3 linked regions of the Caenorhabditis elegans genome follow. The protein of the gene in region 1 interacts with the protein of each later gene in a pairwise test. Each region holds a gene or a part of one and is shown in the gene's direction. Other genes may lie near its edges.

What was found.
Region 2: the proteins of T20F5.4 (region 1) and txbp-3 interact in a two-hybrid assay, tested with the Caenorhabditis elegans proteins (one large-scale study listed by BioGRID).
Region 3: the proteins of T20F5.4 (region 1) and abu-15 interact in a two-hybrid assay, tested with the Caenorhabditis elegans proteins (one large-scale study listed by BioGRID).

Annotation. Positions count from the first base shown.
Region 1 is NC_003279.8:3,912,054-3,916,922, reverse strand, and holds T20F5.4 (uncharacterized protein), read left to right. Parts: upstream 1-1,614; 5' UTR 1,615-1,724; coding exon 1,725-1,829; intron 1,830-1,950; coding exon 1,951-2,153; intron 2,154-2,366; coding exon 2,367-2,588; intron 2,589-2,640; coding exon 2,641-2,683; intron 2,684-2,730; coding exon 2,731-2,877; intron 2,878-3,193; coding exon 3,194-3,414; intron 3,415-4,037; coding exon 4,038-4,098; 3' UTR 4,099-4,288; downstream 4,289-4,869. Other genes in the region: T20F5.8 (TPA-induced transmembrane protein), read left to right, coding at 4,452-4,694.
Region 2 is NC_003281.10:5,045,553-5,048,699, reverse strand, and holds txbp-3 (Tax1-binding protein 3 homolog), read left to right. Parts: upstream 1-1,538; 5' UTR 1,539-1,557; coding exon 1,558-1,812; intron 1,813-2,292; coding exon 2,293-2,412; 3' UTR 2,413-2,524; downstream 2,525-3,147. Other genes in the region: vtip-1 (Vha Twelve Interacting Protein), read right to left, coding at 6-90, 139-238, 287-406, 454-576; C45G9.14 (uncharacterized protein), read right to left, coding at 3,047-3,147. UniProt on the Caenorhabditis elegans protein: May regulate a number of protein-protein interactions by competing for PDZ domain binding sites.
Region 3 is NC_003283.11:5,156,911-5,160,465, forward strand, and holds abu-15 (Activated in Blocked Unfolded protein response), read left to right. Parts: upstream 1-1,691; 5' UTR 1,692-1,712; coding exon 1,713-1,937; intron 1,938-1,984; coding exon 1,985-2,926; 3' UTR 2,927-2,997; downstream 2,998-3,555. Other genes in the region: srx-39 (G-protein coupled receptors family 1 profile domain-containing protein), read right to left, coding at 1-21, 64-275, 320-543, 609-769, 812-850.

The DNA of each region.
Region 1 (4,869 bases):
GGAGGCAACATTATCGAAATATGAATTATGTCTCGAAAGGACACTCTCTCTCTTAGAATAGGCCGGAGGGGGCTGCTTTCACTTGTTGCCGATGAGAAGGAGAGGAGGCCTTCTTGTTTCCGTGTGTGTGAGTGTGTGTGGCCCAGTCGATCAGCTGCCTGATTCCTCAACTTATCATCATCATATTATCACCCCTTGAACAATACGTTATCATCGTAAAATCCTTTTTCTTTGTTTTATATTTGTCGCATTCCTTCCTTTCGATCTGTGATTTGCATAATTTCAAAAAAGGTTTTTACCTTGTAAATTTCTTCCAACAAATCAGGCTGTGCCTTTAAAGTAACTTGACACACTTACCATCATCACTACATTTGTTCACAGTTTATTTCCTTTTGCAAGGCCGCGAATCGGGTTCTATCCGACTTTTTTATGTTCACAAAGTTCCCTTCTATCTACAGTTGACCTGGATCTTCATTTAAAAAAAATTCTGTTCACACATAATCCATATGCATCATATTTTACTATAGAGAACTATAAAATATATTTGTAACCCAAAAAATAAATTTCTAGATTTAAAAAAAAAATTTTCAGTTGAAGTTTTTGGTAAACTGCCAAATTTTCCAAATTACTTTTTGAGTAATTTCGAGCATTGCAAACTATTTTTTGGTCGACTTTCAAAATAACTAAGTTTGCAGCTTTTTTCTTACTGTAAGTACATAAATTTCCAAGAAATTTGAAATATTTTGCTAGGATATAATTTATTAAATTTATAAGTTAACTTACCCAAAATGCTCAGAAGCAATTTTTTTTGAGAAAAAGCTCCTTTTTTCGAATGGCCTAGTTTTATTTTCCGTGGCCATTAAAAATTAATTTAAACTCAATGAAATCAGGTCTAAATTTTAGCCAAAAAAAATTCCTGAAATTAATACTAATTTCTCATACCGGAAGCATTGCCCATTCACAGTCGGAATGATGCTCATCCAAGCGAATCGAGCAGCAGTTTGCTCAAGTTTTCTGTGTGTGTGCTTCCTTCTTCTTCTTCTTCTAATAATCGACTTATCCGTCTCCTACCGTTTCATCGAATAAACACCCGTTCCCCCTGGTCGCAAGGGGGGTCTCAAGTGGACGAGTGCATATTCATTGACTAACTACTTTTGCCCTTGTACACACACACGCGTACACATGCAATGATTTTCACAAACATTTATTTAAACTTTTAAGATTATCAATTATTTAAAATTTCTACCTATTCACACATAACTTTTGGTTTGCATTTTACCATCCATCATATTTTACAACAAGAAATATTCCATTTGAAAGTACTTATTGAAGAGTTCAATCTACAAAACTTTGAAATTTTTCCAAAAAGCTCAACTCGAAATCCTCAAAACTCTAAAAAAAATGTTCGATATAAATCTATAAGCCTTTAAAATAGAGCGCAATGCTCGGAAAAATTTCAGTTTGAAAATTAATTTCAAATTGTTTTGCTCTAAATTCTTGCCGTCTGAAATTTCTCAGTAAGCACTTTCCAGTGGCATATTTCTCTAAAGTCTGAGAGTAACTTTACTTTTTTCTTGTTAGTCATAAATATAGCAATTTTGAAACCAATTTCAGCACCGAATCTGAGTCGATTGCCACGTGACACCGACTGTGCTCAGATCGGTGGTGGTCCTTCTGGGTACGGTCCACCACCACCAGAAAAGGATTATTATAGCAGGTCACGGATGACCATGAATCATGACGATCGCCTCCGGAATCGGTATGAGGCGTGTCGCAGTGGAATGCAGGAATTGGACATGTTGAGAGCAAAACATACACTTTTGATACAGGTTTGTGCATATTTCACGGGCGAATTTGATTCCTTAGGAGTGCCAAAAGCTGCCTAGGCAGTAGGCAGACGTGTAGGCACGGGACATACTTTTGTGTAAGGCATAAATTAAGTGATTTCAGAACCTTCGCTCACGTCTTCCAATCATTCCTGGAAGTTTAGACGATGTACAGACGCGAGAGAAAAAGACCAGAGACGTGTTTCTGGACAGATTCTCACTTCAATCTGTTGATTCTGGAATCTCATCTCAAAATACTATCAGCTCGACGCGAAGTTCAACACCGGAAGATTTTAAGACTTCAAATCGACATTCAAACATTTATGAGTAAGTAAAAATCACAATTCACCAAATTTTGTATTTCCTGTATTAGTGAAGAGTGTTTCCAGTTTGAAAGGGGACATTATCAGAAATAGTACTGTGGGTATTTTTGGTAAAAAATGCCGCACTTCCCAAAACACAAAAAAAGGTTTTGTAGAAATTGAAATTTGACGGAATTTCGTAGAAAAAGAAAAAAAAGGAAAACTAGTCGGATTACAGGAACAGTTCAACAACAATGAACTACTCAACATTTCGGAAGATGTCACTTGAATCGACGCATAGCAGTGTCTCCCATTCTATGCAGAATGATGTGGAGAAAACTTCCTTCGCACCGCCTGTCATAACTTCTAGAAGTTGTCATCGTGGAGCATGGAAGACATCTCCGCAACGTATCCGTCCCAAGAGCATGTTCGATTCGACTACTTCCAATACAGAGTACTTGTGAGTTTCTTATGCACTGAAACTTTTACAATTCAAAAAAAAAAAATTTCAGATTCTCCAAGCCGCCTCGACATCCGATTGATTTGACAAAAGAGGTAGATCAATAACATATCCATAAATCCATAAATTGTCAAATTTTCAGCGCCGATCAGCGTTCACAGTACTGAATCAATCGTCGAAACGGCATTCGAGTATTGAGCCGTCCTTGCCGAGCACTTTGAGCCAGCTGAGCTTGAATGATGAGGCGAAAACTCCACAGAAAGCAGAAGTCATTCGATGGAATAAACAGGTGATTTTTTGTACTTTGTTAAAATTCGGCCACAGCTCTGAAACTCGGATAGTTTGAAAAAAAATAAAGTAGTCGAACTGTAATTTTTCAGTGGTACTCCTAGAAATTTTGAACAGAAAATTTTAGGCAGCTGCTCTTTAAATTGTATGAGGGGAGGGGGGTAAGATCTGCCGTTTGAACTTATGGACTAGAAGGTTCACCTAGAGAAGTTCGGCCACGGGCATGAAATTGTTTTAGGTGCATTATTCGCCGTTTCACCTGTGAAGCTAGAATTATGATCTAGAAAAAGCTGAAAAAACAACTTCAATTTCTACAGAAAGCCGACGCTATGTTCCGTGCCAACGTTGTTTACGTGTCATCTACCGAGCAGCCAACAAAACCAGCACCACTCCGCTTCTCGCCTGCTCGTTCGCCACCAGTACGGCGTGCTCTTCCCATTGAGCTCAAGCCGACCCAACATTTTGCACAACCTTGTAAAATACGATCGCCCAAACTGAACACGAAGACTGTTTTCGCCGCGAAGCCAATCGCAGTGAGGTTCGTTGAAAATGTTTTACTTTACCAAATATATACTTTTTGGTTGTGAAAACTTACTACCCTTGTATTTTGACATCCAAAAAATAGCGGGAAATTCACTTTTTTGAAAAATTTAACGGCTCATTAATTTTTCTGTCAGACAAGTCCAGAAGATCAGAAAGCTATACTTTTAAAGAATTTCAGACTGTAAGGTCACAAGAGGACCAAAACTTTACAGATACCGTAGTCGCTAGTACGGTAAAATTTTGTAGTTATCATTAAAATAAACGTACAGGTACAAGTTAGTAGGTTTTTCAATTTTTTCTGAATATCCAAAAGCGGAACAATTGATTTTTGATTCGAAAATACAAAACATTTTGGAATTTTTTTGTGTAAAAACTCAGATAATTATTTTTTTCGGTCCTTTCTCTATTTTTTGAAGATGTTTCTTCTTTTTCCTCTATAACTTGAGTTAATTTTTGGCAAATAATAAGTATTTTTGTTGCAAAAAAACATAAAAAATCGAAAAATTTGTTTGCAAAAATCAATAAAGTAAATGCTAAAATCCACCGTAATCGCGGGTGCTGTACATAGCTGGAAAGATTTTCTCACGACAAGACCATAAAAAATGTTCATGATTCCAGACCGAGCATCTCCCCAAAAGTGGCTCAACGTTCAACGTGGCTTCAATCTCAACCATTGTGAATGAAGCACCTCATTCTCATTATTTCAACAAATCTCATCTGCAATCTTAAACGCAAAATTCTTCAAAATCTGAAATCCACGTCATTGTGTAAACGGACCCATTTGTCTCCTCCATTTTTCTTATTGTATAAATGTTTAATCTCTGAACTTATATCGATGATAAAATCAATAAATATTGAAATTCCAGACGAAAACTTTCACTTTACTTTGTATAATAATATCTGCGAAACTGCATACCCCATTCGTTTTTTTTTCATCGTCGTGTCTCACAGTGAATGACTGATTGAAAGAATTCAAGAAAATGCAAATGTATTCTTTTGCCGCACTTTTCATTTTATTTTTGTTCTTGAAGAATGATGGCTGAAAGTGTGCAACCGACAGGTAGAGCTGTCAGGCGGCTTGAGCCACTTGCCATTGAAATTCCTGGTGAGCCGGAGCCCTCCAACTCATACGACGCGTTTTGTGATAGACACTTCTCAGCGGAGAATATGGAAACGAAGACAAAAATCTATATTTCGCTGCTATTAATTCTACCTTCACTGATTTATTTTCTCGTTGTTATCAATTTTCCGAATCCGAAAAGAGTTCATGTTGAGGTGATTTGGAAATTTAAATTTAAATTTGGACGCGGGGCAAGACACATTTTTGGATATGTTTTTTGAATTTTCAGTTAAAATTTGGGAGAATAAACTAAATTTAAACAAAATTTATTTTTATTGTTACACTTTCGCGAAGACAATATTCAAGGGAGATGCATAAATATTTTGTGTA
Region 2 (3,147 bases), on another chromosome or scaffold:
CTTACGTCATGATAAAATTGTTTCGATGTCCTGGTTCAGCTTGCTTCACAATATACATATCGCCACTATCAGTGATTGTCATGGAATTTACTAAAAAAAAATATATTTTAAAAAATGTTTTATACCAGAAAAACTTACATAATCCTTCGATAAACGACTCATGAACAACATCTCCATCAAGTGAAATTACTCTTAAAATTGTCGTTCGATCAGAGAATTCAGCTGATGTGTAGATTATCTGTAAATTTGAATAATTAATAACTTAAGTGAAAATAATTTATTGTACCCTGTCTTTGTACGAAATTACTTGTGGAAATGGGGCCATTTTCTTGAAGAATTTCTTGTCTTCGTGCAGAGTTCGGAGAGTTTTTCCGTTGAATTTATATAAACCGCCTTTTGAAGCTACCTGAAAAATGAATAATTTTTAATTGTTGTTGTTTAATTATAATATACCCATATATTGTTGTCTTGGTCGTAAACAACGTTATAAGGAACTCTTGCCCCTCTTGGCTCCAAATGAAGAAGCATTTCATCAAATCGTTGATAATCACTGGTGTCTGACGGTTCTTGGGTCATTTTTATGCTGAAAATTGAAAATTTATTAGATAATTTATCATTATATTTAGCAAAAGAAATGAGAGTCAACGATTAACTAAAAATTTAAGAGTTTTGCGCAAGAGAAGTGTCTAAAAATCAATAAAAAATTTCACCATACCCAGCTCGCTGCGAGACCTCAATCAATAATTTGAATGCACTCCTTTAAAACCACAGTAATCGGCGAAGTGAATTTGAATATTATTAGATTGAACAACATTTTCAAAGTGAATTCACATTTAAAATAAAGTGAAAATAAAGAAGATTTTGGAGTTAAACATGGTTTAAAAGTGGGAAAAATGTTTTAATTTGAACAAAAATGGTTTTTGAAAATAAATCGATTTCTCAAACATATATTGTGGAAATTGGAAAATCTACAGTACCTAGCATTAAAAAACTTCTTTTCCGCTACTGATTTTAGATTTTTAGATATTCTTTTTTCTTGACTATATTGTTTTACATTGAAATAATTCATTATTAATTATTATAATATCTTTAAAAATATGCCTGCAAATAGAAACATGCAAGACTGCAAGATTTGGAAACGTTAAATAAAAAATTGAGGGAAAAAGATTATTCAATACAAGTAAAACCAACTTTCCATGGCCGCAAAAAGCGATGTTTGGTCTTATTTTTTCAATTTCTCTTCCACGGCCACCAATTCAATTATTCTCTTATCGGCAACACTTGTACAAGGTCGCCATCTCAATGACAATCCGAACGGAATTGAGTAAAAATGTATGCAAATTCGGCCATGAGAGTAGGAAGATGAGATAGTGTAAGAAAAATGGAGACCAGAGGGGGTTGAAGACAATGAGTCACACCTCATGTTGTATGTGTGCGTTTCATCTTTGTCCGTGTTCCGACACATTTAAACATTAGTTTTTGAACAAAAAACCTCATTTTCTTTTCAATTTCACTTTTAAATACTTTCCAATTTTCAGATCAAAAAAAAATAATACAATGACAGCATATGGTCATATGCCAGGAGAAGCAATTGAATGTTTGTCAATTGCTGTTGAATTGCACAAACAAGAAGTTATTGATGCTCATGGACAAGTCACAATTCGAGTTGGATTTAAAATTGGTGGAGGAATTGATCAAGATCCAACAAAAGCGCCATTCAAATATCCGGATTCTGGAGTTTATATCACAAACGTCGAATCAGGATCGCCGGCGGATGTGGCTGGATTGAGAAAGCATGATAAGATTCTGCAGGTAATTATGAAATTTTTAAGTTTTCTTTTCCCAGAGACAAATGATCAAACTTTCTTGCCAACATATACATTGTTAATTAAGAGTACTGTAAACTTACTGCCGAATTTTCATCGATCTTGCATAGTTTTTCTCATGAGTTTTTGGAAATTTTTGTGTTGTTATATTTCAAATAAATAAATATACTTTCATCAAAAAACCATGCAAAATCGATGAAAATTCAGCAGAAATGAGAATTTGAAATTACAGTACTCTTCTTAGGCAATATTTTCTCATTCAACATAAATTTGCGTGAATTAAACTGAAGTGAATTAAACATTTGGCCAATTAAAAAATTTTTGGTAGACAAACTCAAGAACGTTCGAACATTAGCTTAACATAAGTTTCCAAAAAATTGAAAACTCCTCAAAATTTTTCTAGATGATATTGAGAACATCCTCTAACAAACGGACACCCCAACTAAATAATATTCTCTATTTTCAGGTCAATGGAGCAGATTTCACAATGATGACTCATGATCGAGCTGTGAAGTTTATCAAACAATCAAAAGTACTTCATATGCTTGTTGCAAGAGCCGATCTTCCTCCTGTCAGTCTTCATTAACTCAATCTCATTTGTTCCGTTCACATTCAAACTTGCCCTTTTCAATTATCTCTCAAACTCAATTCTGCGCATATATTTTGATATTTATCGGGTTCAAAAATAAAAAATTTTACTTTTTTGACGACACAATGCATCATTTGACAAGAAAAATTGGTCATTCGTGTTTGGAAAAATGAACTGAAAATTTCATAATTGCCTGTAAATTTTTATCATACAAAAATGAATTATTTCAATGTAAAAAATAAAGTAAAACAAAAGAAATTATAAATCTGAAATCTGTCGCAATAAATTTGTTAAATTAAAACATTTTTTCCACTTTTAAACTAGTTGGGATATTAAAATCTTTGTTGCTTTCACTTTATTTGAATTGTGTATACACTCTGAAAATGTTTTTAAATCTAAATAATGAATTTCAAATTTACTACAAGGATTACTGTAGTTTAAAAGGAACACACGTGATTTCACTTGATGGATTCTTGGAACAAATTCAATTGTGTAAACACAGAAAAAGTGATGTACTAACAAAATGTAGTATTATATGCAAATGAAACTTGTAGTACATACTAAAGTCTTCTCGAATCATCTCGAAAATAATAAAATAGTATTTTTTAAAACTTTTAAAAACTAGAAACATTCAATTTTTATCAGAACTCTGAAATTCAAAATTAATATTATCTTCATCATCGGATGAATCCATAGTTTTCCCTTCTTCTTCATATAATTTCAGCAAAGTTC
Region 3 (3,555 bases), on another chromosome or scaffold:
AAATAGAGTTTGGCTTATGGACTGAAATTATTATTTAAAACAATCTATAAAGATCAATATTACCTGTTTCAACAAGCTAAGTTCTTTTGAGTGCTTTTCTGTTTTTGAGCTAATTTTTAACACTTTTCCGATAGCTAAAAAGTCCAAAATAGTACTGGAAATAGTCAATGAAAAAACAAGATAAAAGTCTAAATAAGTTGCATAAAAACGACAAACGTCTCCTCCAGAATAACGAAATGCTCTTGTTTCTTGGTCATAAAAATTTTGACATCCCACTGCAACTCTCCCGTCAATTTTAGTTGACATTAAACTAACCTACAAATTTGAAAAAATAGTGTTATGATTGTAAGTGCGTAGGAATAAATTCCCATTACTATACAAAACGTGAACAAAACACTAAACATCATACGATAAAGCATTGGTTTATACACTGCTAGAATTCTGTTAAGGGATATCATGAAATGAAAAGTTGTTGAAGCACTGTAGCAAATCATAAGAACATATCCACAAACACTCGAATAATTTGATAAAATATCGCTCTCGCTGAATGGAATTTTTATTTTAACTGTTGGCCTCGCTGAATGAAAAAAAAAACTTGTTCAACTTACAAAAATACCATTGGAGTTGCATAGAATAAGTAGAGCGCGGAAAATGTTCCATCAGCAATCGCTAGACCAACAGTTAAAATTGCAAATGGTTTTTGCAACTTTGTAACTTTTATCATTATAATCACAATTGCCCAATTTATTGTAAATCCACAGAGGGAAAACTGAAGGTACATCAATTTGTTTGAGCTACAATAAAATCTTACCAAAAGCATAATTGCAGAGATTGTTGTCACGGAAATCATGATTGTAATTTGCAGCCAACAGGAAATGAAAAAGTTAATGTTATGAATGAGAGAGAAATATCTGGAAAAATTGAAACTTTCTTGTCAGGCTCGAGTCACCTGGGCCGGTGGCGTTCAGCTACAATACAAACATAGTTTCTTTCACATTTCGCATAGATACAATTTATTTTTAAAAAATCCGTTAGGCTATTAACTAAATGTTTTTATACCTAATTTTTTAAACTTTGAAATGTGTTTCAAAGTGAGTTCAAAACTAAAATTTCAAACTCTAGAGATCCCGGAAGCTAGGAAATCCCAGAAGCGAGGCAGCAACCACTGTAGCTCTATACAATCAAATCGAAAAAATGTTCGGGTCTGAAAACCAACTTATGTCATGCATGACAAATCATGTAAATTAAATTAGAGTCGAAATTTGTCGTTCTTACATGTCTACGTGTCTATGTGGTTCATTGATTCTTTTGATTTTCGATTAGCTAGAACGGTTCAAAAATTTAAACAAAATTAAAAGATAAATCTTATAAAAATAGATTGCTTATCGCTGTTTGCCCTTGAAAACTAGTTCTCATGTGCGAACCTTGCGTGAACAAGGTCATAGAGCAAACTCAAACAAGACCTCTCTTCTTTGCTTGCGCAATACTACAATTTATTCCTGTATTAGCTCGGAGTTTTTTAGTGACTCGATAGCTTACTTGAAGCTTTAGGCGAACGCTTTTGCGCGCGGCCGCAAGAGAGAGTCACATTTAGAAGAGGATCAGGAAATTAGGAACTGGAACCGGTTTACTGAGCAGCTGGAAAAGTCATATAAAAGAGAAGAACAGAGCTTCATTACCATCCGATTTCCTCGGTTCGAATCATTATTAAAATGCGCTTTACTTCACTTTCTATTGCGTTCCTTGCATGTGCCCTTGTGGTATCTGGAAGTGCAATCCGTGAAAAGAGACAGTGTGGATGTGCTCAGCCACAGCAGAGCCAATGCTCGTGCCAACAAGTTCAACAGACTCAGTCATGCTCGTGCCAATCTGCTCCAGTTCAACAACAATCCCCATCCTGCTCATGCGCTCAGCCACAACAAACTCAACAAGTTCAGGTACAGTTCATTAACATATTCGCAAACCATTAAATCAAAAATTTTAGGTTCAATCTACTCAATGCGCCCCAGCTTGCCAACAGAGCTGCCAACAGCAATGCCAGGCTTCTCCATCAGTGTCCCAGTGCCAGCCACAATGTCAGCAACAGTGCCAGGCTCAATGCACTCCAATGTACAACCCACCAACCACTACTACCACCACCCAAGCTCCAGTTGTCCAATACCAACAGTGCCAACCAGTATGCCAACAGCAATGTCAATCTACCTGTGTTCAACAACAACAACCAGCAGCTCAATGTCAGCCACAATGCCAACAACAATGCAATGTTGCCTGTGATTCCCCATCCACTACCACCCAGGCCCCACAAGTGATCCAAATCCAACTCGAGATCCAACAAGCTCAAGCTCAATGCCAACCACAGTGCCAGCAACAATGCCAATCTTCATGTGTCCAGCAACAGCAACAATCCAACCAGTGCGAGCCAGCTTGCAACACTCAATGCTCTGATATCTGCCAACAAACTGCTCAGGCTACCCAACAAGTCTACAACCAGAACATGAACCAGAACACCAACACTCAAATGTACAACCCATACAATACCAACACCAACCAGAACGCTAACTGCGCTCCAGCTTGCCAACCAGCCTGCGACAACTCCTGCACTTCCCAGCAGACTCAGCCAATGTACCAACCATACGACACCACCACTGAAGCTCCAGCTCAAGTCATCCAGATTGTTCTCCAGACTTCTGTTGCTCAATCATCCCAATGTGCCCCACAATGCGAACAATCCTGCCAACAGCAATGTGTTCAGCAACAACAGCCAGCTGCCCAGTGCCAAACTGCCTGCCAATCATCATGCTCTAACTCATGCCAAGCTGCTCAACCAGCAACTACTGCCTGCCAGCAGAGCCCACAACAGAGCTCCTGCTCTTGCCAAGCTAACTACTCTCCATGCGGAAATGGACAATGCTGCCGCAGAAAGTAATTTAATTGTTCCTGATTCTTGATTTTTGTATATACCGAAACAATTCAGTTTCAATAAACGCATAACTTTTTAAACCTTCTCGCTTTAAAAATCTGACGTGACATAAAAATAACCAGAATAAACCAGTTGTTTTCGAAACACAACATGTTTATTTAAAAACTGTTAGCGTCTCTTCTTCGACTACATTTTTAGAAAATCTCATAAACATTTGTTCAGTTGGCATTGATACAGGTTTACGTATGTTCTATCTATTTCTGTACTCATTGAAAAATGCTCTCATCAAAGAAATATTTATAGAAAAGTTAGATTTACAAGAATTTTCTAGCTCGCCAGCAGGAGTTTAGAAACTAGAGATTAAAAAAAAAAAGCTCACTGATGAAGTATTTTAAATTCAATTTAGTTTCAAATCGTTTAGGTTCACGACTTTACGTGTTTCACTACCACACTGTTCCTTCATTACGAAAAATGTAATACGACCTTAGAAGTTAAAATTTATTTTAGCTTACAATTAAAATTGCTACATACTTTTTCTGATAATACTTGCGAGTGATAACTTTATAGCGATATATCAAAAATGTTTTCCATTTTCATTAAAATTAGTTTTACTTTTTTAGACAATCTGGTATCTT